Linked DNA regions of Struthio camelus. The protein of the gene in region 3 interacts with the protein of the main gene of each other region in a pairwise test. Links are inferred from orthologs where the notes say so. Each region holds a gene or a part of one and is shown on either strand. Other genes may lie near its edges. The genes, in order: YAE1, SIRT6, CHD3 and PTN.

Region 1 (7,043 bases), on a different chromosome or scaffold from region 3:
AAAATTCTATCCCAAGGATTCATATCCACTGAAGTCACCTAGATTTTTTTATACTTGTTTTTGTTCTGTGTAGAATTTCAAAGAGGAAAGGGTTGTGGAAACCAGCTTTCATAAAATACGTTTTCAGTAGGAAAATAAATAAGTCCAGCAGGAAAATAAATAAGCCAAAGAACTATAGAGATTGCAATAACCACTTGTTCTACCAGGAGCCACACATCTGAATGATGAATATTACTAGGAGAGTGGGGGGAAAAAAAAGCCCATGTTTCTTTATTAGCACTGTTTAATTATACTGCCCCACATTTACTAGCAGTAAACCTACAACCGTGAAGCAAAAAGCTTGAATCCAGATTTAGCGTTGCATTCCACACATGCACATACTTGTATAGAGGGAGTCAAGATCTTTTGCTAAACTACTACGTGCTCTGACAGGCTACTTGGATAGCGTTGCTGCAACTCTCTGCTCTACATTTTCCTGATGTTCAGAAGAAACTATACCACAATAACTTTTAAGCAGCCATTTTTAGTTTTCCCCTTAAATCAACCATATCAATCAAGGCATGTATCAGTAAATAAAAAATGGTTAAAAGACTATAAAATCATGGTTATAGAAATACCTTCAATCTTTTCTTCATGGTGCTATTCCATTCTTTCTGTGCTAGATATATCTCATCTGCATCTTCATCAAATATATCCTCACTGGATTGGCTGATGGCAACTTGTACCCAGGACATTACAGCACCAGTGACTGTGACCTTTGTTTACGTGTTAAAGCAAATACTGGGAAACTCTCCAAAGTCCTTCTGACAAAGTACTGCATTAGAAGCACAGGCAGAAAATGTGAGTTCTGAAGAGAAGTCACTTCAGGAGCTGATTATTTAACCTATATGTTTGTTTCCACAAAGACACTGGATGCTGCTTACAGCTGTAGCTGTCAAGAGAAGACAGTCAGATCACCAATTGTAAAACAACTGTTTCAATTTGCAAGGGCAGTTTCAGACAGTATTTTCTTCATTTATTTAGGTCCAATGGCAGTGACAAACATATGCACACCAAATTAGTATGTCTAAATGTTGCTAATACGTGAGCAACAGGCAGAAACAACTTTACAATTTGATTTTGATAGCAGGTGACAATAGCCTCATATAGCTTCCATGCAGTACATTAAGTTATATGTAATTGCTTGCAGAGTTTTAGCCTTAGTAACTGACACTGGACATTGATTTTCAGTTTCATGGTTATGCCAAATGTTTAACCCAATCTTGTTCATCTTGAACAGAAATACTCCTGTATACTGTGAATAAAGAATTGGCTAGTTCTCCTCTAAATGGAAAAAGACAGAATTGGATTGTTTCGTCTTCTGCACTGAAAAAAACCTTAAGAGGCCATTTGCAGTTAATCAAATAAATTGCTGGGAATTCTTATAACCCATAAAATACTATCTTTCTCAATAATCTGTTAAAATGGGTATAGGGTACTGATTTTAAATTTCATTTTTGCATTTGCCATATACAATTTTTTTTGATCTTAATCAAAGCTTCCAGAATTTCCAGCTCTGTTGTATTCAATCTTTAGGAAAGGATCCAGTAATTAAATGACTGGTCCAAGAATCTCAGCTTTTGCTCAAGTTCACACAGATCACTAATGCAAATTGCTTCATCTGTTTATCTTTTTCCACATCCTATTACAAAACAGTGAAAACATCCCTATTATTACAACTTACAACAGTATTTCAGGCTTAGAAATGGTTATGTTTCAAAACAGTCTGACATTCTGACAGGGAGTAGAAACATGGCATAGCCATCTCTATTAACCCCATTACCACCTGGTTTTGTTAGCTCCAGGGTGAGTCCATAAAACTGTCAAAAAAAGTCCCCAAAATGAGGAAAAGAGCAGAGAAGGACAGACAAAATACTGCAGTTGTGTCAGTCTGTGCAGGAGGGAAGGAAGGGAAGAAACAGTTCAACAAGTTAGAGACGAAGTGACTGGAGAGATCTATACCCCAAATTATTCCTGATACGTTCTCAGACGGTGCTACCGACCATGGCCGAAATGCAGAGGATGTCAACAGCACCAAAGGACATAATTAAAGTCCTGTGCCTGGCCACGCTGCTTTTTCTGGGACACAAACGGTTGGATCCTTCCAATCCTCAAGCTCCCTCACTGTGATGGGTGAGGGACGCACCTCAGAAGTCCCCAAACCTTTCCAACCGATGGTTTGCAAAAAACCGCACTGAGCGCCTCTCCCAGGGCAACGTGGCGTCAGCGGTGGTGCAGCGCTGCAGGCTGTGACCAGCGAGCGGCCTACGCTGGAGCCGAGGCTGTGCCGTGAGGTCCCTTTCACGTGTTGTCCCGATCCCCTCACCTCTCTCTCTCTCTGACTCTTTCGTGTGCGAAACATTAATAAATAAATAAATAATACATTTCAAAAAAAAGAAAAGTAATAAAAAGGCCCAAATTCCCCTGCCGCAGCATGTCCCAGGCGAGCACTTGCTAGGGCAACCCCGAACAGGCTGGGCTGCAGACCAGTGGGAACAGGGCGGCCTCGAAGGAGGAGCCGCGGTCCCCGTCCCCGTCCCCGTCCCGGTCCCGGTCCCGGTCGCGGCCGCGGGGCCCCCAGACTCCCGCGCCGCGGCGGGCCGCCCCCGGCCAGGCCGCAACCCGCCATTTCGCGGCCAACCGCTCAGCCCCAGCGTCCCGAGGAGCCTTCCCTCTCTGCCAGCTGAAGACAAGCGCAGCCTCCCCTCCCTTTCCCTGGTTCCTCGCTCGGACCCCCGGCACCACCCCGGCCCCGCTCCCCCGGCACTTTCCCGCAGCCGCCGAGCGGCGGCCTACCAGCGCTTACAGGGCGCAGCCATCCCGGCTAAGGGCAGGCTGGCTTCACTGCCATTGGAAGCAACGGGCGAACGGCAGCCATGTTGACTGAGGGCAAGATGCGCAGGGGCTGCCGGTAAATAGCCGCCATCTTAACCCGCAGCTCGGTGGCTTCAAAGCCCGTCTGAAGCACTAGGGGCTGGCGGCCATCTTGAGTAAGGGCGTAGCTTTACGGCTTCCTCAAGGAGGCGGGACGGGGCTGACGCGAGCGCTGCCCCGCCCAGGGTGCCCAAGCCGTTGGAGGAGGCAGGGAAAGAGCCGTTACCGTAGCCGCCGTCTCCCGCCTCTTCGGGGCGCCGGGGAGTGCGGCTGCCCCGCAGCGGGCCATGGCGGCAGGCTGTGCCCCCCCCCCCCCGGCCCTCTAATACCAAACCCAGCGGGAGCGCGTTTCCCGCAGTGAGAAGGTTTAGCTTGCTTTTCAGTCATAAATTGTGGAATTGTAAAAAACCAAAGCAAAACAAAACAAAAAAACCCCTGCCTTTTGAATCCTCCGGGTCCTCGGGTGTCAGCCGTGTCCTTACGCTGTCCGCTGCGACCACAACGTTTAGGCTTCACACAAATGTATCCTTTTTAATAAGAAGGGGGCCAGTGGCAGGCAAATGTTTTACTCTTTGCCTCTGTGAGAGCAAATATACATCCTTTTGACATACCAAAATTATTTAGTGTTTTTCTTGGTACAGTCTATATTTGGCATATGAGCGTACCTCGTTTAAAGGTGGTCAATGGCACCAACTAATCTTCAGACATTAACTATGCATCAACTGCGGGTTTAAACTGCATGTTTCTTCCAGTTGCCAAATCCCATTAAAGTAAATGTCCTGGTGCTTATTCTGGTCCCTGAAAGGGAGCATATGTATGACAGAAAGAGGAGATTAAGGGAAAACGTAAAATAAAAGCGCACGAGGGTGTCTGCTGCTGTGTCCCGTGCCTGGCGTGTCTTGTTGCAGCTGCTTCTGAGGTCCAAGCCGAGCTCACAGCTGGGCTGTCCCATTACAGCCCTCCCAGTGGTGCCCTCGAAATACTACTTCTGGACTCTTCTCACTTTGGTGATGAGGGCGGCTCCACGGGGAAGCTGGGGAAGGTGGTGGCAGGAGGCCCTCCAGTGCACACCTCGGTGTGCGGGGCTCCCCCCACCGAGCACACTGTCCCAGAAGGAGCTGCTGAGACCACCAGCATTCATGTGACAGAGACCACATCTGCATGCTTTGATGCTGAACCCCAAGAGCCATGTCCCCAAGGCGCGTGCCTCTTCAGAGACTCAATGGCATAGGCAGGAGATGCTGATTTCTCATTTACTGTTGTGGCCATGCTGCCACACTAAGACCTGAGTGAGTGCCTGATCCTGTCCCACAGAAGAGTCATGAAATTCCCATTACAGCAGGGTTAGGTGCACAGCCATGACTGAAAGCAGAGCCTGTCCTAGCACCACAAGTAATGAGAGAAGAATGATCCCATGCTGTGACTCACACAGCCACAGCAAACTCATTCTCCTTGCCCCTTCTGTTTGGCCAAGACAGCATGTGCTCCTGCCCATGGCCCTTCTAAGATGCTCACTGCCTATTGCATGCTGAGGTACAAGTGGCCAAGCAACCCAACTCTGTCGAGGAACTGGCATGTCAGGGGATGAAACAACATGGATGCCTCTGGACAGCCAGAACTGTGTTTATCTATTCCTCAGCAGTTATTATATATGGCCATGACTGCTGATTTCCTAGCCCAATTCTGCCTGCTATCTGGTAGAGGTTAACTTGGCTAGCTCTGCCATTTTTTTTTTAACAGACAAAGGTGCTGAATACAGCTGGACTGCACAAACACACAGTCTCAGAAAACCCTTATCACAACTGGAACTCTGTTGCTGTAGGTAACCCCTCATGACCAGTCACAAAATGGTGCTACTAAACCTGGGAGCTTCCTGCCTGTGGAGCTGGACCAGCCCTACCCTTGCTCATCACCTTACCTTCAACCTCTCGCTCTTCTAGAAAGGACACACAGGTCATGCTTCAGGGTTACTGAGCTGCCCCAATTCAAACTGTCTCAGGACCCCTTATGTTTACCTTGGTTTGTCGTTGTATTCCACACAGATGTCTGTTGAAAATAAATCCTTATGTTGTGACCATGAGAAACTGTGAAGAAGGCTCGTATTCCCACCCTTTTCGGTTAGTGGTTGTGGGTGGATAATTTGGTGAATCATAGTGTGTACACAGAACAGCACTGCTGGGTTATGAAGTACACTTGCTGCAGACAAGTTGATTGCATGCTGATGGCCTTGACAGGTCTGCTGGCAAGGCTTGAGGGTGAGGTGTAGTGCTTCAGGATGTGCATGTTTTCCACACCTATGTGCGTTCTAAATAAATCAGTGCCTACCTATTGTGGTGACATTTTGTGGTGCTGCATGCCAAAGGAACATGAGGTGAGTATTTCACAGGCTACAAAATGGCTTTAGCATTTTTGCGGAATAAATATATGAGAAGACTTGACCCCCCAGATTTGTGAAAAATAAAGAAACAGGTGATTCATGACCCATCATAAAGTTCATCTGTGCCATATCTAAGAATAAAAACTGAATCATTTTAGATTTACGATATCTGCAGTACCAAAAGTACCTCTGAGCAATGAACGCATTTGGCTTACCAGTTGCTCCTTGCACATGTTGTTGTAGGAGGGACAGGTTCCAGAGAGGCTGTGCACACAGTCGTGCACTACTTATGACTACCAAGATGTTATGGGAGATCATTACCAAGGATTTTTGTCAGTTTGATCTCATTAGTAAATTCTCCCATTGAACAGTGACCAAAAGTGATCTCTAAAACTAAGATATATGAACATAGCAGTGTGGACTCCTTTTTTACATGATTATTACTATGCAGAATACTTCAGATACAGCATTGCCCCTGTTCATGTCAGTACTATGCACCCTTGTCTTTCAGCCATCAGTGTCTCAAACATGCACTGACAGAAGCAGTCAATGGATTTCTTCATAATGTACAAAGACCCCTCAGGACTTCAGGCTCTTTTGAAGGGTGGTTAATTCATGTAGCCAGGGCTTCTTGTGCTGCGTATGGGCTATTCTGTCTTTCAGGATGACAAAAAAATCTCACCAGGGCAATTTCTATTGCAGTGTGCGACTGTATCTGGTGCACTCAAGCTAAGGCTTTCGAAAGGCCCAGGATACAAGACTATTTGCACTGGCATTACACTGTACGTAAATTCTTCTCCACTCACTTCTATATTCTGTTGTAACAATGTTTATCGTCATGGACCCACAGACAGAGCCACGTCTCTCTGGCTCTTAATTTTGGCAGTTGTATAATTCTTTTAAGAAATCACAGCTCTTAAATGGTATTTGGATGAGTTTCAGGAACACTATCAAATCACTGTTCACTTGTTCTCTATAGTAAACAAGACTAAAACATGGTGAGTAAAGAGTAAGCTGTTGAAATGTGAGGAGAATGAAGACTCTTGAGGTTTAATAAAGTCAGTAAATACATTGTCATCAAACATTGCAGGATAATTCCGAGAAGTTTTAAACTATAAGTCCCTCCTAAAATACATGTTCTGTCTATGGCCAGGTCTGTAGTCTTTTCCAGGTATCTGGCTCTACTGACTAGTCAGATTCTAGGCAGTTTGCCTGGAATACGTCGAGTAACAGGAAATCAGTAAGACTGCCTGCAACGCCAAAAAATGGTCTATTCATGCTCTCGTGCAGCCTATGCCTCTGTCCTGAGCTTGATTCTTCTCTACATTATTTATTTCCCCCCCACACTAAAGGTGGTAGAGTTATCTATTGGCTGGATGTTGAAGGTGGTAATACAGTGACCTCCAGTGCTTAAATCCTTCTGTTCCAGACCCACCGCAGGGAAGGAAAGTGACACCACAGTGAGCGAACAGGTTAACTGCAAGGTCATAGACTTAGTGACGTTTTACATAGTGCAGCTCACAGCACAAGAGACTACAATGATGCTAAATTAAAAAAGAGGGTTAAAATAAGCCACTAGGTTATTACCAGGGCACAGCAACAAAAATGTATTTCTGTGTTTTCCTATAACATCTCTTATTCAGAATATCAAGGCAATTTACTAATAAAGCCCTATCACCCTCTTGTGATGAAGATAGAGAATACGTAGGAATCACTTCCCTGCTTTTGTGAAATCACTTCCCCCTTTTTCAGA
Region 2 (7,629 bases), on a different chromosome or scaffold from region 3:
CAGAGAAGTCTGGCAAATTTATTTAGAGACAAAGTACCTTTTAAGGCTATCTTGGACCCAGGCATGGCTTCACCACTGGGGCAGCACCGCCTTTAATAATTTTCTCTCAAGAAACTCAGTTTAAGCAAATCCTAAAATAGTACGAAATGCAGTGCTCTGGGACAGCTCTAGCAGTGCTGGTAGAACAGGGTGATATAAGTCTCTGCGAACAACTGGAGCAGTTTCGGATGCTCCTGCCCACTCTCCCGTGCCTTCACCCCCATGCTGACGGGTGCTGCTGCCAGGGAGCAGAGGCAGTGGAAAGGACCCGTGTGCCCTGACCCCAGCCCCGAGCCCTGTCCCTGGCCTCTGCCACCAGGAGCACATGCCTTATGCGAAGCTGCTGTTTCCCTCTGCAGCAGGGCAGGCTACGATCCCCAGGCAGTTGGGTAACACAGCTTGGCTGCGCAGTCTGCTGCTGCAGCTCAGCTGACAGGCGGTAGGTAACCTGCTACAGCCCAACAGCACTGTCTGCCTGTTCTGCTTGTGAGCACCCTTGGCACCTGGCTGGGTGCACTACTGAAAAGCATCACCTGAGGCTGATTTCATTTCATTACCCCTCAGATTATTGCCACAACCTCTCTTCTCTGAATTCAAGCTGGTTTACATCCCCTTCCCCCACCAATGCATTCCGGTTTCCCCGCTTGTATCAGTGGGCAGACAGCTTCCAAGCTGGACATTTCTTGGAAGCAGAGCATTCAGGCCCCAGCATCAAGAGAAAATTAGCTGGCCCATTTTGTTAGGAGCATTGGCAAGAGTTTGCACATGCGACCACCCTAACTGGGCAGCAAGAACAGCCACACAACAGTGGCTGGGGCTGGGGCAGGCACAGGGGACCCAGAAGCAAGGCGGGAGAAGCAGTACCGTGGGAATCCCGAACGGACGTGAAGGCCGTCCACGTTCTGGCTGACCAGGAACTTGAGGATGCCGACTCTCTGCAGCCCCAGCAGTGCCATGTGAGTCTTGGAGGGCCTGGCATTCTCAAAGGTGGTGTCAAATTTTGGGGAGAGCCCCTTCTCTTCCATAGTCCAGACACCATTTGGCCCCCTGTGGCAGAGCAGACAGAAAAGTGATGATCACAGACTCTAAGATGCTTGTGAATGCATCACGAGCACTATCAACAGAGTAAGAGCAAGACTCTGCTAAATGAAGGTCACCCGTTACCAGGGATCTCTGACCTTGATGAAGGAGAACACACATGGGGCTTCTGCAGGTACAGCTTAATGTCAAGCAGCGACTTGCAAGAGGGAAAGGGTAGTGTCTGCTGAGTGGTGGCTGGTTACAGGACCAGGTCTTGCTGCAGGCAGGAAGGGGCGGCAGGGAGCACAGTCCAGAGCTTTGCGAGAAGTGCAATGGCCCACGAGGAGGTGCTACTCCTTCCACCCCTCACTTGCTGTCCTGCTCCCTTACCCACCATCCTTACCTGAAGTCGGGAATCCCTGAGGCAGTACTGATTCCAGCCCCTGTGTGAAACACCACGTTCGAGGAACTCCTTATCAAATCTGCCAGTTCACGCACTTTCCTCTCCAGCTCCTCCGGAGGATCAAAAATCTGAGAAGAAACAAACCACAGCAGGAACTGAGAGACCCAGTGGTGGGTGCTACGCACCCCCGCAGCAGGCACACACACCCAGTAAACTGTTCTTTCTTATCCACAATGAAAACTGCAGGTGGGAAATAAGATTTCTCATTGCTTAACGATAAAAGCATCTAACTGGAGAGAAACAGCATTGTACAAACTGTCCCCATGTAGTATAGGGGCTTAAAAAAGCCTTATGCAGAAGAGGGTATTTAATGCTCTTGCCAACGGGTACCTGATACCCACAGAAGCATCTTGGATCAAGGGCACAGTGGAGCAGCAGGAGGAAGGGAGCGACCCCGGGGCCAGCCCAGGTGCACTGATCCCCGGCACCGTTCCCCAGCAGAGCCGCGGGCTCGACAGGGCTCGGGGCCAGCGAGCCACAGCGGAAGAAGAGGGTGGCCATGGAGATGGAAGAGGCAGAGCCACTGTAGCTGGATGGGTTTGCGGGACCATCCTGCCTTCTGGCACGGGCGACCGTTACGGACGCAGAGTTGCATTTCTGCGGGCTGCTCCTCCAGCCTGGTCCCCTGAGGACACGGGCTGAGGAGGACGTCCCGTCCCCGCGCTCCAAGGCGGGCTCAGGACGCCCCTGCGCGTCCCCGTCCCCCTAGACCTCTTCTAAGCTTCTCGAGCGCTGCTGTGCCCTGTTGGGCCGCGAGGTTGGGATCCCCCCCCCCCCAGCTATGCCTGGGACAGGCCCCACAGCGGGCGAGGGCCTGCCCTGAAAAAGGGGGGACCCTGAGGGGGCACTGGGGTCTCTGCTGGGAGGGGGGGGGTCACGGATTGGGCTCGGGGGAGGCACAAGGGCAGCACTATGGCACTGGGAGAGTCTCTGCTGGGGGTGGGGGGCAACACAAATGGGGTCCGGTTGAGGGGGAACATGGGGCAGGGGGGGTGCAATCCCTGCTAAGGGACACATAGGCTTGGGGATCCCTGCTGGGGGGGCAAAAAGAGGGGCGCGGGGCTGGGCTTGGGGGGGGGGTACAAAGGGGAGCCACAGGGCTGGGCCGGGGGGCAAAAGGGGGTCCGTGGGGCTGGGCCTGGAGGGCGGGGGGAGAGCCATAGGGCTGGAAGACCATGGAGCTGGGGGGGGGGGAGCCACGGAGGGGGCCCGTGGGGCTGGGGGGACGGACACGGCTGGGCCGGGGCCGCCGCTGGGGGGCACCGGGGGGAGCGTGGAGGCCCCACCCGGGAGACAGGGGGGGACAAGGGGTGGGGTGGGCCGGGGCCGGGCCAGGCAGGCCCCGCGGCGCCTCGCTCACCTCGGGGAGGCCGCACTTGCCCTTGTCCGAGTACGGCGAGAGCCCGGCCGCGTAGTTCACCGCCATGGCCCGGCCCGGCCGCGCCGCCCGCCGCGCACCAATAAAGTTTTCATTGTTGTCAATGCCCGCGGAAGGGCGGAAGCGCGCAATGAAGCCGCGGGGCGCGGGGCGCATGCGCAAGGCAGGGCCGGTGGGGAGGGAAGGCGAGGGCGGCGCCGCCATATTGGTGCCTGGCAGGGAAAGCACCTGCCCTTCCCTTGCCCTTCCTCTGCTCCAGCCTAATTCCTGCCCCCCCCCCCAAAACCCGGCCCGGACACAGGCGCTGGGCGGGGGGTGCCAGGCAGGGACGAGGCCTGGGCCCAGCCCTGCCCCACACCGCCCCCAACCCTTGGGGAGGGATGTGGGGTCCCAGCCCTGCAGGGCTCCATCCACCCCCCCCAGGCCCCCTCTGCCTCGGGTCACGCCGCCACCGCCTTCCCCGGGGCGTTTCGGGGGCTGCCCCACATCACCCCACGGGTGGCAAAAGGGGGCACCCGCTGCCGCCCTCAGGGAGGCCCCGAACGGGCTCGGGGGGCCCCGCTCGGCGCGGGCAGGTGTAACCGGAGCCGCCGTAACCCAACTCCCCCGCGGCGCCTGGGTCCCCCCCGGCGCCCGCCGGCCGGCCACGAAGCGCCGGGGTGGCTCAGCGGCGGGGCGGCCGCGGGGTGAGGAAGGGTCTGCGGGCGCCGGTGGGAGACGGTGGGGGGGGGCGGCCGGCGGGACCCCACGCGGGCCTGGTTTTGGGGGGCGGCTGCTGGGGGGGGGAGCAGGGCGTCGAGGAGGCGCACGCACGTGTCCCCCCCCCCCCCCCGCCACCACCTCTGGGGTGACGGGGACCCTCACGGCGCCGCCGTCTCCCTCGTCTAGGCACGGCGGGCCGGAGGGTCGAGCCGCCATGAAGAGCCTCAAGGCCAAGTTCAAGAAGTCGGACGTGAGTGCGGTCCGTGGGGGGGGGGGGGGGGGAAGGGGGTCCCCGACGGAGGGGGGAAACGCCGTCGGGCGAGAGGGTCCCGCCTGCCGGCTCTGGGGTGCCCGGGAGGGCTGCCAGGTTTCCGGAGCTGGCCATCGGGTTCCCACCTCGGTGACGGCACTCGTCGATACTCATCAATAATTCAGCGCCGCGCGGCGGTCCGCCGCCGGGCCGGGGAGCGGGGAGGGCAGCTGCCACCCTGCCGGGGGTGACGGTGCCGTCCCCGGTGCCCGCGGAGGTGCTGGGGGGGGGGGGGACGTGGCCCTGCTCGAGCTCGTTTTGGTGCGGGTTAAACGCCGAAGCGTGGCCCCCTCCCTGGGGTCTGGGGAGCTGCCTGGCCCGGGGATGCCCCGTGCCTCGGTTTCCCCACCTGCCCGGCTCCTCTGGGCGCTGCGGCAGCGGGGAGGGCTGAACGGGCCGCTGCTGCCCCCCTAAACTGCCCCTATCCGGGGGGGGGCCCTTCTCCGCAGCTCTGCCCTTCCCCGGCCGGGTTTCCATCTTCCTTCCCCAACGGTTGGGGCCACGGCCGCAGCCTGTCCCAGCGCGGCCCCCGCTTCGGCTGGGACCTGCGTTTCCACCCCAGTTTGGGGGGGGGGCTGTGCCCCTCCTTCCAGGGCAGGGTCTGGGTGCCAGGAGGATGCTCCCGTCCTTGATTTGGGGGTGCCCCACTGCCTCGCCCTGGGGGAGCTGACCTCCCCCCCCCCACCCCAGTCCCTCCCAGTCTAACTGGGACCAGCCCTGGACGCTCGGTCCTGCTGTGGTCCTCGCTCCATCCGCAGGGATGCGGGGATGCCTCGAGCTCCCGGTGATGAGGAGGGAGGGAAGGAAGGAGGGACGGAGGGATGGAGGGAGGCGGGTCCCAGCTCCCACTGCGGCAGGACCCGGCCCCCCGCCCGGGCGGCGGTGCTGGAGCCAGCTGGGGTCCGCGGCCGGCCCGGCTGGCCCTCGCCCAGGCGGGGGGCGAGGGATGCATGGCCGCCCGCCGCCTCCTCCTCGACACCATGAAGCAGATCTGCCTCTGTGCCGCTGCCTCCTTTGCGGTACGTCCCTGCCCCCCCCCGTCCCCGGTCCCCTTCGGTCCCCGTCCTCTGGGGATGGCTGTGTCACCCCCCCACCTCACCTGCCCCAGGCCCCTTCTATCCCCGGGACTTGGCTGCGTCCTCTCCGAGCTGCTTTGTCCTTGCACGGCAAGGGTTGGAGGGGGGGGGGATTGCACTCCCAGTTTGCCCAGTAACCCCAGGAGACTGCTTTATTCCCCGCCCTGGGACACGGTCCTCCAGCTCCGCAGGGTCAGGGGAGTTGTGGGGTTATTGGGGAGGGGGCTGTGGCACAAGCCCCGTGCCAGGCACTGGGCACCGGGCTGGCGATGGGCAGGATGCGAGCAGCTCCGAAAGGTGACATCCATTTCCTGTCTCCCCCGGCCGCAGCCTAGCTTTGGTTTGCGGCCGCAGGCTGCGGTGTGAACCCGGGGCTTCCCGGGCTCGTCCCAGCCCCGTCCCGTCCTGCTGCAGGTCGCTCCGCCGGCCCCCATCCGGACCCGATCCTGGGCAGGAGCAGGGGGTGTCCTCGTGTCCCACGCGCCAACGGGGGCTGGAGGTGTCCCCGGGGACCCGTTTTCACTGCCCTGCCCTGGCTCGGCCCCATCCCTGGCGGGCAGCAAAAAGGGGTGGCCGTGGGGCCGGGGCGAGGTGCGTGGAGGTTGGGGAGAGCCTGGGCAAGGTGGGGGCTCAAGCAGCTGTGGCTGCTGGCTGTGTTTAGCAGCGGGGTCGGCGGAGCAGCAGCAGCAAGCCCTGGGGCAGGGTGATGGGGCAGCAGCAGGTCATTCCTGAATCCCGGCCCGATCTGGGCACAGTGAAACTGGGACAGCTCTGTAAATCCCTGGGCTGAAAACTTGGGGACCCCCATGCCAGGCAGCTAAACCCTCCTTATAGAGGGGCCAGATGGCACCTGGCAAAGGAGTTGGCCCGGAGATGGCCACCCTAGGGCATGGGATGGGATAGCAGGGATGGGGATGAGGACAGGGACACAAGCCCAGCCCAGCACCCTGCCTGTCTCCAGGGTCCAAACACCCATCACGGCCCCGTCTCGGTTTCATTGCAGAGCCAGGACTGGACCAAGAACGATGAGAAGCTCCTGCAAGCTGTGGATTACAACGATGCCGGGAGGGTGACGTCGCTCCTCGTCCGCAAGGGGCTGGTCGCCACCAAGTTGGACTTGGAGGGCAAATCCGCGTGAGTACTGACCTGTATCCTCCTGTCCCTGTGTCCGCCCTGGCGCAGGCTGCTGGGCTCTCCTGGTCCCCTGAGCCACCCAGCGCTGCTCCTCGGGGCTTGCCGGGGGTTGGGGACATGGGGCTGATGGCCCTGGGCCTTGCTGCAGGTTCCACCTGGCCGCCATGCGGGGGAACGTGGACTGCCTCGAAGCCATGCTGGCCCACGGCGTGGATGCCATGACCAAGGACAGCTCAGGTGAGGGGCATGGCCACCGCACCCAGCTTCCCTCGTCCCCCCTCTTTTCCTCTCCGGGTAATGCTGTGGACCGCCTTGGGCCCCTGACACTCCCCAGTCCTTCCTACCCGACCGGCAGGTGCCAAGGCTGTGGAGACAGAGGTGATGGCCACATGGGCTGTAAATCAATGCTCAAGGAGGGTCCTAGCCGCCAACAGGCACCTGAACCCTGGCCCATGGTGTTCCCAGGGGTGCCTCGTCCCTGCTCAGCCCCAGCCCTGCAGGGTGCTGGGCTTTCCTGGCGCCCTGAGCCACCTCATGATGTTCCCCAGAGCTCCCGGGGCAGAGGGTAGGGGATGACCGCCTGTGTGCTTGTCTGTCTGTCCCCCAACCCATCCGTCTGCCACCGCCCTGTCCGTCTGACCGTAACCTGTCTGTGTCCCTCTCCCCAGGTTACACTGCCCTGCACTTGGCATCCAAGCATGGCCACCCGCAATGTGTCAGCAAGCTGCTGCAGGTAATGGGGCCTGGGTGCACGGCGCCGCGAGGGAGGCAGGGTGCCATGCCCTGTGCCATGCCCGACTCGGCCCCTTGCTCCAAGGGCACAGCCAGGCCCAACCTGCCTCGTCCTCCCTGCATCCCTGGGATGGCCACGCTCCCATCCCTCTGCAGTGGCGTTGGTCGGCATGGTGGTGCCTGGCTCTGGCCAGCACCATGTGGTTTGGGGCTGGTGATGATGCTCTTCCACCACCAAGGAGCTCAAAGTGCCCCACAGTCCTGGCCCCTCAGGCAATCCACCCCATTCTCCTGTAACCCAGGCCCTCTCCCTCAGGCCTCCTGCCCCGTGGACGTGCCTGATGGCAGCGGCCGGACGGCACTGCACCACGCAGGTGAGTGGGGACGGTGCCACCCCATCCTGCTCGCATCCCTGCAGGAGTCAATACTCAGCCTCTGTCCTTCTCCCCAGCTGTCAGCGGCTGCATCTCGTGCTCGGAGATCCTCTGCGATTTCAAGGCTCCATTGAACATCAAGGACAAGGTGAGATCCCTCTGCTCAGCACCTGCTGTTGTATGGAGGTCAAGTCCTCCGGCAGTGATTAAACTCTACTGGGCCAGGTGATGCTGCTGCGTAGAGCAGCCAAGGGCCAGGCTGAGGCTGCCTCTGAAATGTGGCCACTTCTGGGGTGGGACACAGCAGCTAACTGCTGGCAGCACCTGGGGTCCCTGGGGTGCTGCTGTGAAAACACACTGCCCCTGCCCAGGATGGCTTCACGCCGCTGATCCTTGCTGCC
Region 3 (7,815 bases):
GCCGAACAGCCCAGGGCCCATCAAGCGCCCTCCCGCTGCCCATCGCCCCACGCCATGGGGTGCCGAGCACCCTAGAGCACGTCAAGCACCCATCACTGCATGCCACAGGGTGCTGCGCACCCTAGAGCCCCTCAGGCGCCACCCCGACACCCATCGCCCTGGAGCACAGGGTGCTGAGCACCCTGGAGCCCATTGGATGCTCTCCTGACACCCACTGCCCCACACAACAGGACATTGAGAACCCTGGCTCCCCTCAGGCACCCGCCCGGCACCCACCGCCCCACACCAGGGGGTATCGAGCACTCTAGAGCCCCTCAGGGCCCTCCCAGCACCCCCCCATCCCACATCACCGCGCGCCGAGCACCCTAGACCCCTTCAGACACTCTCCCAGCACCTCTCACCCCACACCATGGGGTATCGAGCACCCTACAGCCCCTCAGGCGCCCATCGCCCCACAACACGGGCTATCGAGCACCCTACAGCCCCTCAGGCGCCCATCGCCCCACAACACGGGCTATCGAGCACCCTACAGCCCCTCAGGCACCCATCGCCCCACAACACGGGCTATCGAGCACCCTACAGCCCCTCAGGCGCACATCACCCCACAACACGGGCTATCGAGCACCCTACAGCCCCTCAGGCACCCATCGCCCCACAACACGGGCTATCGAGCACCCTACAGCCCCTCAGGCGCCCATCGCCCCACAACACGGGCTATCGAGCACCCTACAGCCCCTCAGGCACCCATCGCCCCACACCAGGGGGTATCGAGCACCCTCCAGCCCCTCAGGCACCCATCGCCCCACAACACGGGCTATCGAGCACCCTACAGCCCCTCAGGCACCCATCGCCCCACACCAGGGGGTATCGAGCACCCTACAGCCCCTCAGGCACCCATCGCCCCACAACACGGGCTATCGAGCACCCTACAGCCCCTCAGGCACCCATCGCCCCACAACACGGGCTATCGAGCACCCTACAGCCCCTCAGGCGCCCCCCCACCCCACTCACTCCACGGGGGCACCGAGCGCCCTCCCTCCCCTCAGGCGCCCCCCACCCCACGGCGGCGGGGTGGGGGGGGGTCCATGGGGCAGGCGGCCCCCTGGTGGGGGAGGGGCACCGTTTCGCACAGCCGCCCCTCCCCCACCCCAGGGACTAACGGCGGCGGCGGGGGGGGGGAAGGGAGGCGGCGCCCGGACGGCGCCCCCCCCCTTCCACAGCCGTTAACGGAGAGTTGGGGGGGGGGGAAGGCCCTCAGCGAAACCGCCCCCCCCCCCGTGACGACGCGGAGCCGCTGAGGAGGAGGAGGAAGAAGAACGCGGTAGGTGGGGGGAGGAAGGCCGCGACGGTGTCCCCCCCCCCCCATACAACGGTTGGGCGGGGAGGGCCGGCGCTCGCTCCCCTCCACGCGGGCGGGCGCGTTAAACCGGGGAGAGGCTTAGAAACGCCCCCTCCCCCTCCACAAACGGAACGGAGCCGTTGAGGAGGAAGAGGAAGAGCTCGGTGGGGGGGGAGGGAGGAAGGCCAGGCCGATGCCCCCCCCCCCACCTCCCCTTTACACACATCCACTCACCCGGCCGCGGGGGGGAAGAGCTCGGCGCGGGCGGGCGCGTTAAACCGGGCAAAGCAGCGCGGCGCCTCTGTGTGTGTGTGTGGAAGGGGGGGGGCCTAGAAACCGCTTCCCCCCCCCCCACACACAACCAAACAGTCCGGAGCCGTTGGGCAGCGCGCGCGCGCGCCCGTTCGGCGGCCGGGAGGGCGGCGGTTGGGGGGGGGGGCCTAGAAACCGCCCCCCCCCCCCCCGCCGCCCCGCAACGGTCCGGAGCCGTTGGGCAGCGCGCGCGCGTTCGGCGGCAGCGCGGGGAGGGAGGGGGGGGTGGAACGTTCGGCCCCTCAACGTTCGAAAGCCGTTGGCGGTTGTTTACAAACACGGCGCCCCCCCCCCCTTCAAAGCCGTTAGCGGGGAGGGGGGGGGGCGCGCGCGCGGCGGCGGCGGGAAGCGGGGCCGGGGTTGGGGGTGGTGGGGGGGGGGAGGTTGTTTACCTGGAGGCGCCTCAGTCGCCTCAGCGGCCGCGGCGGGAGCTGATGCTGCGGGCGCGGGCGCCAGCGGCACCGCCGCCTGCACGGCTGACAGGAATATGTCGCCGGGGCTGTTGTCCCCGGCTCCGTCTTCCTCCTCCTCCTCTTCCTCCTCGTCTTCTTCGTCCCCCTCCACCTCAGACACCACCATCTCCTCCTCCTCTTCCTCGTCCTCCCTCAGAGGGGAAGCCATGGTGGTGCTGGGGGTGGGGGGGGGGGCAGGGAGGGAGAGAGAGAGAGAGGGAGTGAGTGAGAGAGGAGAGAGAGGGAGAGAGAGAGAGAGAAAAGAGAAGGGGGGGCGGCCCCCCTCCGCCACACACCAAAAAAAATCCTCCCCCCCCCCCCGCGCAGCACCTCAGCCTGAGGAGAAAACGGCAGGAAAAAGTCCCGCGAATGCAGCCATGAACCCCCCCAAAACAGCGAGAAAACTCCCCGAACTTTTCTTCCCCCGCCGACTTCCCCCCCCTTCCTTTCCTCCCCTGCCAAAAAAAAAAAAAAAAGAGAGAAAGTTGGGGGGGGGGGAAGAAAGAGAGAGAAGAGAGGTTAAAAATACATTGAAATTCTGAGGGGGCAGCTCGGAATAATATTTTCCACAAGAGCAAGGAACAAAAATGGCCGCCCTTAAATTATTTTTAAAACCGACCCCCCCCCCCCTTCCCTCAACCCCGGGAGGTTACCGAAAAAAAAAAAACCCCAAATCCCCCCCACCCTTTATTAAAAAAAAAAAAGAAAGAAAAAAAACCAAAATGGCTGGCTTATTTTTTTTTTTTTAAGTCACCCCCTACTCCCACACACACACCTCTTCCTTGAGGTTAAAAAAAAAAAAAGATTAAAAAAAAAGCCTCAACAAAAATCAGGCAAGAAAAAAAAAAGCAGCCTAGATTCCCCCCCCCCTTTTTTTTTTTGTTGTTGCTGCTGCTGCTCGGAATATATATAGCTGGCGATATAAAATAATTCTGATTTTTGGCTTGCTGGCCCCTCTCTCTCTCTCTTTTTTTTTTTTTTTAATCTCTCAGAAGATCTCAGATCAGTGCATAAGATGAACAATATTTGTATATTCCTGGCGCTGGGGGGAACTGAAAGAGAAAGATTTCTGCATAAAACAAAGATGGCTGCTCTAAATTATTTCTTTTTTTTTTTTCCTCCCTCCCCTTATACTTCCCCCCCCACCTCCCTCAATAAAAATATTTTTTGCGGGGGGGGGGGAGAGAGAAAAGGCTGGATTAATCAGTACTCATGCTCAGTATGACATCAGCATAAATTGTTAAAGGTTAACTAGTTCCATACTAGTAACACCACGAGATTTTTTTTTCCGCCCGCTTTCCTTGCTTTACTAGTACAGGCGGAAAAAAAAAAAAAAGGGAGAAAAAAAAAAACAAGGGGGGGGCTTTTTTTTCCCCCTCCCTTCCCTACTTTTAAATACTTCAGAAGGGAGTGGTGTGTGTGTGTGTGTGTGTGTTTTTTTATTTTCCCTCCCTACTCTTTCTTTCTTTAGGCTGTAGGGCAAGGAAGAACAAAAAAAAAAAAAAAAAAAAAAGGGAAAGAAAAGAAACAGCCTTGAAAAATCATTTAAGCGCATGGTCCAAATTCGTTTAAGTGCATCGTTAGGAATGATTTAACTGTGTGTTTTCCTCCACCGGCGTTCAAAGCCAACGCGCCTCCCCGGGTAAAACCGACACCGAGAAATAATTAAAAGGGAGAGAAACCCCCCCCGCCCCCCCCACCGCCGCGATTGCCCCGCTTTGCTGGCGAGAAACACTCACCCCTTTCTCTTTTTCTCCCCGTAGCTTCCCCCGTAAAAATTGGGGTGAAAAACGCGATGTTTTCACCGCTCCGCCGTGCTGCTTTCGGAGGTGAGCAGGGAAAAGGGGATTTTTCACCCCGGGGCCCCCGATGTCTCCCGCTTTGTCTGCGCACGGAGCAATGACCCCCAAACGCCCCCAAATCCCCCCCGAAGCAAGGGGGCCCGGGGAGGAGCCCTTCGGGGCGCCCCGATGGGCTTTTCGGGGGCGGCGGGATGACACCACCAGGGCATTTTTGCAGCATTTTTGCCCCCGGAGCATCTTTTCGGCCCCAGAAGGCAGCCTCGCTCTCCCCAGATCGTCCTGGTTTTCGAACCGCCGCGTGCCGGGCCCTCGGGATTCGTTCCCGCTGCTTCCTAAGAAACGCTTTCATCTGTTGAACGTTACACTTAAAAAAAGGTGCGATGGGGGAAACGCAAACTCACCTCGAGGCCCAAAGCCGACGAGCCGGCGGCCGCTGGACGGCAGCCCAGGACCCTGCTTTTATTTTTCCCTTCTTCTCCATCTCTCTTTTTTCCCCCAAATAATTCATCAAACACGTTCCCCGCTCAGGTCAGAGGAGCTTTTCACCTCACCTGTGGGGTTTTTTTCCCCCCCTCCCTCCACCGACAAATTGCAAATAACGATTATTAATTTCTTCCCAACCCTGATTTCGAGGCCTTTTGCAATCAGGCCTGCTCTGGACTCCGGCGATGCCCGCAGACCTGTTCCCGTGGCCCTCGGACACCGACCCCCTCCGCTTTTGGGAGAAAAAGCCTTTTCCGGACGGGATCCCAAACCCCTCGTGGTTTGCACGAAGCCAGAGCGCGGTAGGCGGGGCTGGTGTCCCCCCCAAAAAAAGGAAAAACTCCATAAATCCCCCCAAACTGCACCACAGCCAGGCCAAACTCCCGCTGCTCACCAAGAATTTAACACCAGGCACGGCTTCGATATTCATTTTTGGGCTTGTTCAGCTGCTTTTTTGCCCTACAAACCTGGCAAAAAATAGGTATTTTTGGGTGGGGAGGAAAGAAATCGTTGCGCAGAGCGAATCTCGCTCCCCGACCGCCCGTGCTCGGCGCCCACGGGGCCGCGCCGCTCGCCAGCCGCCTGCTTCCCGCGGCGCCTTTTATATTTAACCCAAGCTCCCCCCCGGGAGCACCGGCACCACGAATTCGTGTCGAAACGGCTCCCTCCTGGCGCGGGCGGCCAGCGGTTTGGGAGGAATTTGGAGACAAGAAGAATATGTTGATGCCCCCCCCCCAACCTTTTTTTGTTTTTTTTTTTCCTACCCAGTTCATGTTTATTTCTCACTTCCACAAGGTGGGTTTTTTTTCTTTTTCTTTGTTTTTTGCCAGTTCGGTCCTTTCGCGGCTGCCCCCTTTGACACCACTGTCCAGGCACCTTCTCTCTCCGCTCCCCTCCTGGCAGCTAACGGGCCGCGGAGCAACCTGCCGCCGCTAATTTTGTCGCGGGCAGGTTCCCCGGTAGCGTTTTTAACGATTTGCGAGGCTTTGACGGCCGGAGCGCACGTTCCCCGCCGGGAGAAACTTGCCTTAAACTTGACCCTGGCTGCTTGCGGCTTGGTCTCTGTTCCCTTGGGCACGGCCAGGGCAGGCTTTTCTTTTTTTCTCCCCCCCTTTTTTCTGTCTCTAACCCGTCTTTGATGTTTCTTCGCAGCTCAGCGACGGCCAGGGGCGCGACCGGAGCAACACGCGGCATGACGCTAATAGGGAAGTCGCAGCGCTTATCACCGCGTTTCACCCGGCGAGAGGGGTCACAGAGGCTTTTACGCGCCGACCGGCTTGGGGAAACGGTCGCCGTTGTGGGAAAACCTCCTGCGGAAGCTGCCGCTGCCTCTTCCATGCCTACTTCCTCCATCGCTTCGGTTTGGCTTCGTTTTCCTCCGCTAATAACGCTTTTGGGTGGCGGCGCAGCCCCTAAAAACAGGCCAGTGACTGGAGGGGACCAGCAGAGCGAAGCCCAGAACGGGGAACGTGGCAGCTCCGAGGGGACCGGGCCTTCCCGCCTCGCTTTCCAGCCCGGCTGCCCCGCGGCCGAGACGCTCCAGCTCCGGCGCTTCTTTCCCAGCTGCCTCATCGATTTAGCTAATAAACCCTCGTTTCCCACGGCATCGCGGCCAGACGGAGCCGAACGCGGCCAGACGGAGCCGACATCGCGGCCGAGGCCTCCGGGCAGCGTCGCGGGCGACGAGCAACTCCCCCGGCCTCGGGGCACGGGAACGTGGCGTTTACCGAGATGAGTAATTCCACGCGGAGGGGATTCCTGCTCTCGCGGGGGCCGCGGATCAGCCTTTTCCAGGGGATTTTCATTTCTAGAGAGGGGAGCGTTGGCGGCGCGACCGAGCCTGGCGCGTCTCCGTGGCAGAGCCGGCTGGAGCGGCGCGCGCAGCCCCGAGCCCTGGCAGCGCGTAATCCGCACCCCGTTCCTCTCGCTGGACAGCCGGAGCCGGAATCCGGCGCCAATTGGCAGCGCCGGGCTGATTCGCACCCGCCGAGGACTTAGCCCTGAAGGTAGCAGATAAAAGCGACAACCTCCAAAGAGAGCCCAAACCTCCTCTTCGGGGGGGGGGGGAGCGGAGCAAACGAGGCTTTGATTAGAGCCACGCGCCAGCTGCCTGCGCAGGGTCCAAGGGGGGGGGGGGGGGGAAGAAAAACGGACACACACACGGAAGGAGACGCAGCGAGACAGACGGACAGCGGAACAAGGACATGCAGAGACGCACGGAGGCCTCGGGATGCCGAGAGCGGTCGCGGCGGCAAGACTCGGCGGCGCGGGCGAGCGGCGTCCGGCTTCGCTCCACCTCTGGGTTACTGTAACGCGGCCTCGGGTCAGCGGCGAGGAGAAATCCCTGCCCACGTGACGCGGGGCCGCGCCAGCGGCTGGCAGCTCCCGCCGGGAGATGAAAGGCCGCGGAGGGGCCAGCGGGACGTGGCCGGCGCCCGGCTCGGGGGCGACGCGCCAGGCGGCCGCTCACCTGCGCTGGCCCCGGGGCGCTCGGCTGGCTCCTTGCTGCTGCTCCGGCCGGACACAACTGCAGGGAAACGCGGAGAACAAGAGGTTTTAGGTCAAGGCTGGATGTTTTCCAGGAGGGATTTTTCTTTGAACTGAAATTCAGTCCCCCCCGCCCCCCAGCAATTTTTTGGCACGTGTTTGAGCTCCAGCAGAGCGGTGGCACCCGCCTCACCTTGGCTGGGGGCACCGAAAACAAATCAAACCACCTGGATATTTGTCACGGAGGGAATCCTGAGGAAAGCTCCGGTTTCCCCTTTCTTCTGCAGCTGCCTCCCCCCTGCGCCCAACGCTACCAGTCCAGCCAAATCGAAGGGACGCCGCAAAAAAAATTCCCTCCGGTGGTGCCAGACCTGCCCTCCCGCCAGGTTGTTCTTCCCCCCTCTCTCCTCCCAAAAACAAGGATGAGAAAATAAAGTCTCTGTGCCCAACTCTTATCATAATCCTGGCGATAACGAGCACGCGCTGTGATTATTCCCTTCCCCCCGCCCCCCGCTGCTGGCAGATCTGCACTGCTGAGCCCTGGTCTTTCCCACGCCGGGGCCCATGCGGAGCTGGCGAGTGCGCCGCGCTGGCTCCCCTCCTCGCCTCCAGCTGCTAAATCATGCTGGAAGCTGCTAAAAATACCCGCCGCGAGGAGCTTTTCCACGTCAGCTGCTGCCGCGGGAGCCAGGGGATGCTCTTTGCTCCCGAGGGCCAGCGCAGTGGCAGGCGGGGGCCGCGCGCTCCCCGGACGCGCCTGGGGGCCGGGCGGCTTTTTTCAGCACGCGCCTCCCAACTCCGCACGGGAGTGGGGGATCCGGCCCCACCACCGGCTCTCCAGCGGCGTTTCCCGAACCCCGCCACGACGGCGATCCGCCGACTGTCACGCCAGCCGGCGTCACCCGCGCGGCGGCCGTCTCCGAGCGCCTCTCTCCGCTGG
Region 4 (7,557 bases), on a different chromosome or scaffold from region 3:
AATAATATCAGGATATGCATATAAATTAGTGAGACAGATCCTAAATAGTTTTGACAGGTTTAGTAAGTATATATAGTGACACAGAATGCTATCCCTGCTGTCAGACATCAATATGTAGACAGAAGATTGGGGGCACCATGGAAACTCAGCAACATAAGAGTGGTATTGATTGGATAGAAAATGAGGCTGCAATTTAAGCTTAAGACTGCCAGAGATGCCAAGAATGGAGAATGACCTCCAGCAGTGAATTTGCAGCATAAGCTCCCTGTGAACAAGCCAGTCCAAGAAGGATAAATCAGGGACAAGCTCACCAGGGATATGGGTCGACCGAATGCAGGCTACCCTAAGCAGATGAGAATCTCTGTGTGTGTGCGTGTTACAGTGACCTAGTTCGTTCAAAGAAAGCATTTTGAATGGTTTATTATAAAGAGGCTTGAAACAAAGAGGTTTCCTCAATTAAAGTCCTGAAATGAATCCTCTAAATGAAAATGCTTTTGATACACTGATCAGCAAGAGGTTGTAAATATTGAAGCAAAGCTTACATTGTTACTCAAAGATAGTTCCCACAGAAAACTCCACTGTTGGGAGCGTACGCAACGAGGGGGCTTGAACAGAGCAACAAGTTTCATCGACAGAACCAATTCCATCCCAAATAACTTAGTGTAAATGCTTTAACAGTTTATAAATCATATCTTCCCTGCTGCAAAAATGCACTGAAATAAAACGAAGCATGCTTTAAATGAGTACATTTTCAGAGCTCCAGTAAAAGACTATTTTTAATTGTTATCCAAGGACTCAGGAAGAATTGTTTCCAGAATGACCAAAAGAAACATAAGACGTGTCTGTGAAGTACCTTGCAAGAGCCGTTGCTGGTAGAATCAGCTAAGTATTAATATTCAGTTTAGCAAGAGAAAGCTGAATCTACACAAAGCCTCCATTAGTAGAGCTGTGACAGGAATAAGATAAGCCTCAAGAGTGTCCTCAGTGTCAACACTGGCATAATGGCATAACTGAACCTTCTCTGGGACAGTTTGTTTCATATTACCAACAGTAGAATACTAGTATATGGTACTGGGCTAGCGCTATGCTTGGTAATGCTGTAGTAAAACCAACTTCCTGCTGGCAAGCATTTATCAGTCACAAATTGCATCTCAAATAACCGGTGATAGACATCTGGATAATGGCAAAAGTCTGTTTTTCTTAGATCGCTTGTTCACTATCAACAAAAACTTACTCATTTGTAAGAGACAGATCTGTTGCTGGCTTCAAATTTCCCTCTCTTTCCATCTAAGAGCTTGCTCTGCAGTCGATAAGCATCCATCCTTCAATTTCACAGAAAGCTCCCTAAGTGGTAAGTCACCAAAGAGTTTAGCTTCGATCAGAGTCAAGAGTACACTTAAACCTCTACTTTCTTGCTCTTTTTAGGAGGAATCAGTAATTTATGCAGTGGTTTTCTTATTTCTTTTTTTTCGGTTGACCACTCTAACAAAATACCTTCTCCATCCAATTCCATCCACTACAAAAACTAAAAACTTCTTTCACCACTAGGCAGGTTCCTTTTTCCCTTCGGACCATTTCTCTTGATGAAAATTTCAGATTGTCTTATATATATATATATATATATATATATATGTGTGTGTGTGTGTGTGTGTGTATAAAATTTTCATGCTCTTTTTGCAGGGAGGGAAGAGAGTCGCACAGAACAAACTAAAGTTTGCTCTGCAGATCAGCTCAAACCACTGTCCAGAAAACGTATGAGAAGCATTTCTTTATAAAAAAAAACTTTCCCATACCCTTCCCTTCTCTTTCTCCTCCTACCCTCCCTCCTCCTCCTCAATACAAGCAGTTATTACTATATATGCAATCCATTCCTTGCTCCGAAAGTTGAACTTTGCAAAAAGCTTGGAACAATCGAGGTCTGAAGGGGAAACAGGAACAGGACAGAAAGTTTGAGGCTTGACAAATTACAGGTAAAAAGTGTTCTTCTACTGTAACATAAGTTATTCAAAGCAAACAGGATCTAGTTAAAACACCGACCGATATGCATAGTTGCAGGGCTACCTCATAGAAGAGGTAATGCACATCGCAAACCAACCTACAATGCTCCTAAGAACCAGCTAACCTCAGAGTTACATCCCCGAATCCAGCTTCTGAGCATACCACTAAACTAAAGCACTGTAGCCATCCACCGCCGCGGCACGCCACTTGCGGGGTTGAAGGGAGAGGTGCACGACATCCAGCTGGAACAAGCAAGAGCAGCAGATGAGGCCCCCAAAGAAACAAGACTACCTTTTTCTTATAAAGAGCTCTGCTTTTCAGAAGAGAGGACAAGGGAGGGTAAGGAGTTAGAGAAATCCGTGCTGGAGACTGTGGCACATTTGCAGAACAATCAGTACTCTTAAGTAGGAGAAAACTGCATTTTCACCAGTGTTAACTCTACTTGCAAGAGAAGACGAGGGAGGGGTAAGGAGGTACGGGAAGCAGCGTGGGAGACCGTGGCTCGTTTGCAGAACAACCTGTACACCCAGCAGGGGAAAGCCGTGTTTCCACCAGCGTTAACTCCGGTTTGCTCCCATCCCATCCCCGCGGAGGGAACGGCAGGCGTAAACTAACGGCAGCAGTTTTAAAAACAGATAAACCGGCATTTGCTGGCTTCGCCCCCCCCCCCCCCAAACCTTCCCTCCCTCGCCGGGCCCCGTCCCCCCACTTCACTTTCTTAAATATCCGCGCGATCGACCGGCGGCGGCAGCGCCCGCTCCGCGGCCCCGCGGCAGGTGCCCGGCCGCCTCCCCCGCCACCGGGGCCGGGGCCGCGCCCGTGACTTACTTGGAGCGGCGGGAGGCTCTCGCCCGTCAGCCGGGAGCGGCGGGCACTTGCCGGCGCTGCGATCCCTCTCCTCTAGCCTGCTGCTGCCGCTCTGCCGGCGCGCCCTCTCGCTCTCCTGCTCGGGATTTGTTTTCCTCGCAGGATTATTATGGTTATTTTATATACATATACATATATATATATATATATATATATATGCCGAGGGAACCTGCTGCCCGCGCTGCCTCCGCAGAGCCCCGGCGCCGAGTGCGGGAGCGGGCGGCCCCGGCCGGGGCGGAGGGAGCGGAGCCGGCGGCGGGCGCGCGCGCGCGCGCGCGCTCCCGCGCGGCCCCTCCCGCGATCTGATTGGGGCGCGCGGCGGGCGCGGGTCACTCGCGGGGCAGCCTCGCCCCCGCCCGCGGTGGGGGGGGGGGAGAGGGAGGGGGCTCCCCCGTGCCTCGGCGGAGCCCGGCATTGGGGGGCTGGGGGGGGGGGGAGGTTAGGTTAGTGGCGCGGCCCCCCCCGCTGCGGCGTCCTAACGGACTTCCCGAACCGGCGTAACGTCCCGAACTCCCGCCCGCGGGGAAGCGGGGGCTGGGCTCGGCCCGCCGCGGGGGCGCCCAACGGCTGCCCGCCGGCCGTTGAGGGGGCTGCGGGGCGGCCGCCGCGGGGCTCGCCGAGGCACCGCTTTCACCCCGTGCGAGTCTTTGGCCCCTTCGGTGACTGTTTAGGGGAAAGGGAGCGTTAACTTTAACCTCGCTGGCTTCCAGCTCGCTGCTGAGACTGTGGCAGTGTTGGACTGGAAACGCTGTTAGGGGCAGGGGAATAAATAAAGCAGCTTTTAATTTCTGTTTGGGCTGCAAGTAGCACGAGAACAAGTTTTGTGGTGGCATTTCGGCACTTCTGGGTGTATTGGCTGCTGGAGTTGTGTCAAGGCTTTCATTTGGGAGCAGGCCTTTCCAGCTTTTAGGTTCATTACATCCACTGAATAAGAGCGTTCCCCAGTCTACAGCTTAATTTGAAACTAAGTGGACTTGTTCCAAAGCCCAGGCAATTTCTGTGCAATTGCCCATTGCCAGAACAAGTCTCTGGTCTCGATCGGAAAGACTCAGCCCATTGACGGTTAGGGTCTTTGCTGAGATCGTTAAGCTAGCAGCTCCTGCTCCAGGTCTGAGAAATCCAGTTCGGATTCTTCTCCTGTTTCCAGAGGAATGAGTTAAAAAAGTAATTTGTCTGGCACTGTTCGCATTGCATCATCTAACACCTACCATCTGTGACAATGGAAAGCTCTGTATGGCTAGGCCCAGCGTAGGCAATTGCACCCACCTGGCCTCCTTCTCCGTAAGCTACTCCCTTCCTTCCATCCACACCTTGGCATCTTCTTTACATCACACAGTTACATGTATAGTCCGGGCACGGCTGTTAAGGATTTACACCACTGGCCGATTTAATGACAGTGATGTAATTTTAAACAACTTTGACCCGACAGGCAAAGCAGTGGCTTCAGGAGGAGAGAACAGTGTTTTTAGCAGCTGGATGCGTGGAAATGAGCACTCAAATAGTACTTTGCAACTGAGCGATGCAAAGCTGATCAGAATAAAAATGGATCCTTGATAACTACTCTGCACCTTCCTTGGGGCTCCTCAGTGAACTCCTGGCATCACTGTGCTAAGCACTGTGAGAGGAAGACTTTCCATCATAAAACAGCTGATAACGGTTGACACAAGAGACAACGGTCTCTGTGCCACTGCAATAGTGCACTTCAGATGGGCAATGATGTCCGAGTAACAAAGTGAAAGTAGGCAAGAGGAGAAAGGCTGAAAGGCTCTTGATTAAGACCAAAACAGATGCCTTGAAGTGGGTCTGGAGATTTCTTCCTTCCCTCACAGAAAATTGAGTCCTACCTAAAACACTTAGCATTTTCAGTTTTTCAACAAACAATGGAAACTTTCTGCAGAAAGCAACCACTTTTCACAATGATGCGTGTGTCAGAAGCCCCATTTTTCCATTAAATGTTGAAAGCAATGTCAATAGACAGTTTTGAACCTAATCCACTCACACCTCTTCTAGATACCTTTCCATAGCTCAGAAATGAATTTCCTGTGACTGAGTTTACATGCACTAAAACTAGTTTTCTGTAATGGGGGCTTAGGTTTTGATTCAAAAAGTCTAAAATGAACTGCACTCGAGGTTAACACAGCTGCTCAGAGGACAAATTATGGTCTGAAGGAACTCTGATGAAAAAATAAAATATCTCAGTCTTGGACTGACAAAAAGTAAAAGTGTGTTTTTATGTTAATATTATTTCCATATTAATGGCACCTTGAACGGTAGCCTCATTTAAGTCTCTTGTGACATACAGAAAATATCCATACTGGAAAATAGCCTTTGACAATTACTTTTCTGGTCTGGACACACAAATATCCAAGAAAAGAAAATTTGCTCTCAGATTGCTGGTGAAACTTATCCTTAAAATCCTTGCTGGTTCCATACTGTTCAATAAAACAAAGATGAAGAATGGACTGCCAGCTGTAGAAGTCAAATTTCTGCTTTCATGTATCATCTTTGCTACCCAGAACAGTATCCCATTGAAAAGGAGATATAGGGCAGAATTTCATTTAAAAGGAAGAGTGAGGGTTAGGCAAATAATAAGTTACAAAACCACTTCTGATTGATGCCACATGCAAAAAAATGGTCTTGTGAACAATCGAAAAGTATTATGTCCCAAATATTTCTATCAGTAAGTATTTGAGGCAATTTTGGGGAAAGAAGCTCCCAGCATTAGATGTATCTTGTACCTAAATCTAGAAACCCTCCCACAACAAAGTTCCTCTCACTGAGTGTTTTCCTGAGTTGAACACCAACAGTTCCCTTTGAACCTGGGGTATTTCAGTACTTTGAGGCAGTTGTTTCATAAGTGCCCTGAAGGAGAGAGTCACTGGGATCTCATCAGCTTCTAACGAGAGTTTAGTACTTCTTTCCTAAGGTGCCCTTGAAAGATTCTGACTATAAAATCTCAGACCACAAAGTCAGAACGCAAGACTTTATATAATTTGCTCCCAGTAAGTGTTTCCCTGTTCTTGGTCCCACAGCTGAGTAGAATGGGGCTATACTTTTCAAGAAGCAAAAACCACTCGCACACCAGTTAAAAGGTCAGCTTGGGTTGAGCTTTCTTTGTTTCGGATACACTGTAAATATCAATTTCTTTCTCTCGCCCTCTCTAGCCCTCAGCAACAGCAGCCTCCAAGAAGATGTAACATGATTCCAGGAAAGCAAAAAAAGAGAACTCGAGAATAGCGTAAAGATTTTTTTCACCTTTTGCTCCACTGTTGTTCCCAGGCTATTGAGCTGCCAAACTCCAGCACTGAGTGCCCCTCATGCCTACTCTACCAAAATCAGATTTCCATTAGTGATACTGAATTATTTAGTGAATGCACTGAACACTGAAATCAGCTACTTCAGAGCTGTGTTCCTTCTCACTCCATCTCTCATTTCAGGCCTGCATAATAGCAGGAATATTGTCACAGAGACAATAGTCAGTCCTATAATTAGAGTGGAAAAATCCATGGAATTCAAAAATAATAATTCATGCCTCACTCTCTAGTATTAAAGTAATCCAGTATGTTAAAAAACAGTTTTTCTAGATGTATGCAAAAGAAGGCAAACACAAATTCTGAACCCAGCAGAGTTATTTTTACATGCACACGTGCTAAAAACTTAAGATATTTTCCAAAAAAGTCAGTATCCCAGAACTTGATCTTATGCTTCAGTGACCAAACCGTGAATACATATTGCAACGTTACACATTTGACTGATTCTATTTTCTACAATGGGATTAATGCTCTTGTGCTTGAAATTATTCATGTGCATATATCTGCATGTTGCAGTTTGAATCCACAAATATAATGCAGCACAGCAGGCCTTTCCAGATCCCCAGCTTTTAAAAGAGTGCCATTCTGAAACTGGCTTCTCTCACCATTTTCTTCTTTTGTGCTGGCAATCCTGAGAATGGAGATCCTACATATCCAGAATTTGAAATCTGTTATAAAAAGAAAAAAAATCCCAGCTATGGATAAAAATTGTGACTTTGAACAGACTATCACTTTTTCTTTTTTTAAAACAACACGTTCATTTCACTCTGGTTTTACAGTTTGGGGGAAAGGAAAAAACAAAGCAAAATGGCATTTTATTTTGATGTCCCAAGTCAAAGGTACCGTTTTTGTTCTATTTTGACTTATTGCCGCTATGTATTTCTGGGTGAAAATCAAAGCAAAAGACAGAAACAAAACATTTTTCAACTGAAACAGAAACAAAAAAAAAAAAAGACATTTTGATTTGGCTTAAAACTTCTGGCAGAAAATTACTGAATAAATAGAATGCACATTTCCTTTTCAGATTATCTCAGGAAGAACTTGATTTGCTAATTCCAGTTTTTGAAGTTAGTTATGTCTACACTCCTAACTGTTCTGTGAAAAATCTATCTTTAAAAGTAGAGAAGGTAGTATTTATAGCCCTACCTAATCAAGTCCTTGATGCTTCATTAAGACAGTCAAAATAGTATTTTATGTAGTATTGAATGGCTTTCAATTGGGCACTGACCTGATACAGTCAATTTTATTCTCAGTGACAAGCCAGTAATAACAAATTTGAGGCACTAAGTATATAGCCTGCAAGTGATATAAAAGTGAAAATCATGTTGTGTCTTTACTAATCATTTACCTCTAAGCTGAATAATATGCAACTGTTTTCTAG

The links.
Region 1: the proteins of CHD3 (region 3) and YAE1 interact in a two-hybrid assay, tested with the Homo sapiens proteins (2 studies listed by BioGRID and IntAct). The link is inferred for Struthio camelus from reciprocal best matches to the Homo sapiens genes CHD3 and YAE1.
Region 2: the proteins of CHD3 (region 3) and SIRT6 interact in a two-hybrid assay, tested with the Homo sapiens proteins (2 studies listed by BioGRID and IntAct). The link is inferred for Struthio camelus from reciprocal best matches to the Homo sapiens genes CHD3 and SIRT6.
Region 4: the proteins of CHD3 (region 3) and PTN interact in a two-hybrid assay, tested with the Homo sapiens proteins (2 studies listed by BioGRID and IntAct). The link is inferred for Struthio camelus from reciprocal best matches to the Homo sapiens genes CHD3 and PTN.

Annotation. Positions count from the first base shown.
Region 1 is NC_090943.1:58,241,975-58,249,017, reverse strand, and holds the start of YAE1 (protein YAE1 homolog), read right to left. Parts: upstream 3,032-7,043; 5' UTR 2,846-3,031; exon of another isoform or gene 2,836-2,845; intron 2,751-2,835; exon of another isoform or gene 932-2,750; 5' UTR 735-931; coding exon 618-734; intron 1-617. UniProt on the Homo sapiens protein: The complex LTO1:YAE1 functions as a target specific adapter that probably recruits apo-ABCE1 to the cytosolic iron-sulfur protein assembly (CIA) complex machinery. May be required for biogenesis of the large ribosomal subunit and initiation of translation.
Region 2 is NC_090967.1:4,374,906-4,382,534, forward strand, and holds the start of SIRT6 (NAD-dependent protein deacylase sirtuin-6), read right to left. Parts: upstream 3,022-7,629; 5' UTR 2,949-3,021; coding exon 2,883-2,948; intron 1,591-2,882; coding exon 1,463-1,590; intron 1,087-1,462; coding exon 904-1,086; intron 1-903. Other genes in the region: ANKRD24 (ankyrin repeat domain-containing protein 24), read left to right, coding at 4,863-4,931, 5,992-6,122, 6,271-6,359, 6,791-6,855, 7,171-7,228, 7,306-7,376, 7,600-7,629. UniProt on the Homo sapiens protein: NAD-dependent protein deacetylase, deacylase and mono-ADP-ribosyltransferase that plays an essential role in DNA damage repair, telomere maintenance, metabolic homeostasis, inflammation, tumorigenesis and aging.
Region 3 is NW_027182697.1:108,026-115,840, forward strand, and holds the start of CHD3 (chromodomain-helicase-DNA-binding protein 3), read right to left. Parts: upstream 3,016-7,815; 5' UTR 2,879-3,015; intron 2,732-2,878; exon of another isoform or gene 2,633-2,731; intron 2,556-2,632; exon of another isoform or gene 2,434-2,555; intron 2,280-2,433; 5' UTR 2,273-2,279; coding exon 2,044-2,272; intron 1,322-2,043; exon of another isoform or gene 1-1,321. Other genes in the region: CYB5D1 (cytochrome b5 domain-containing protein 1), read right to left, coding at 7,774-7,815.
Region 4 is NC_090942.1:66,013,539-66,021,095, reverse strand, and holds the start of PTN (pleiotrophin), read right to left. Parts: upstream 3,032-7,557; 5' UTR 2,827-3,031; intron 1-2,826.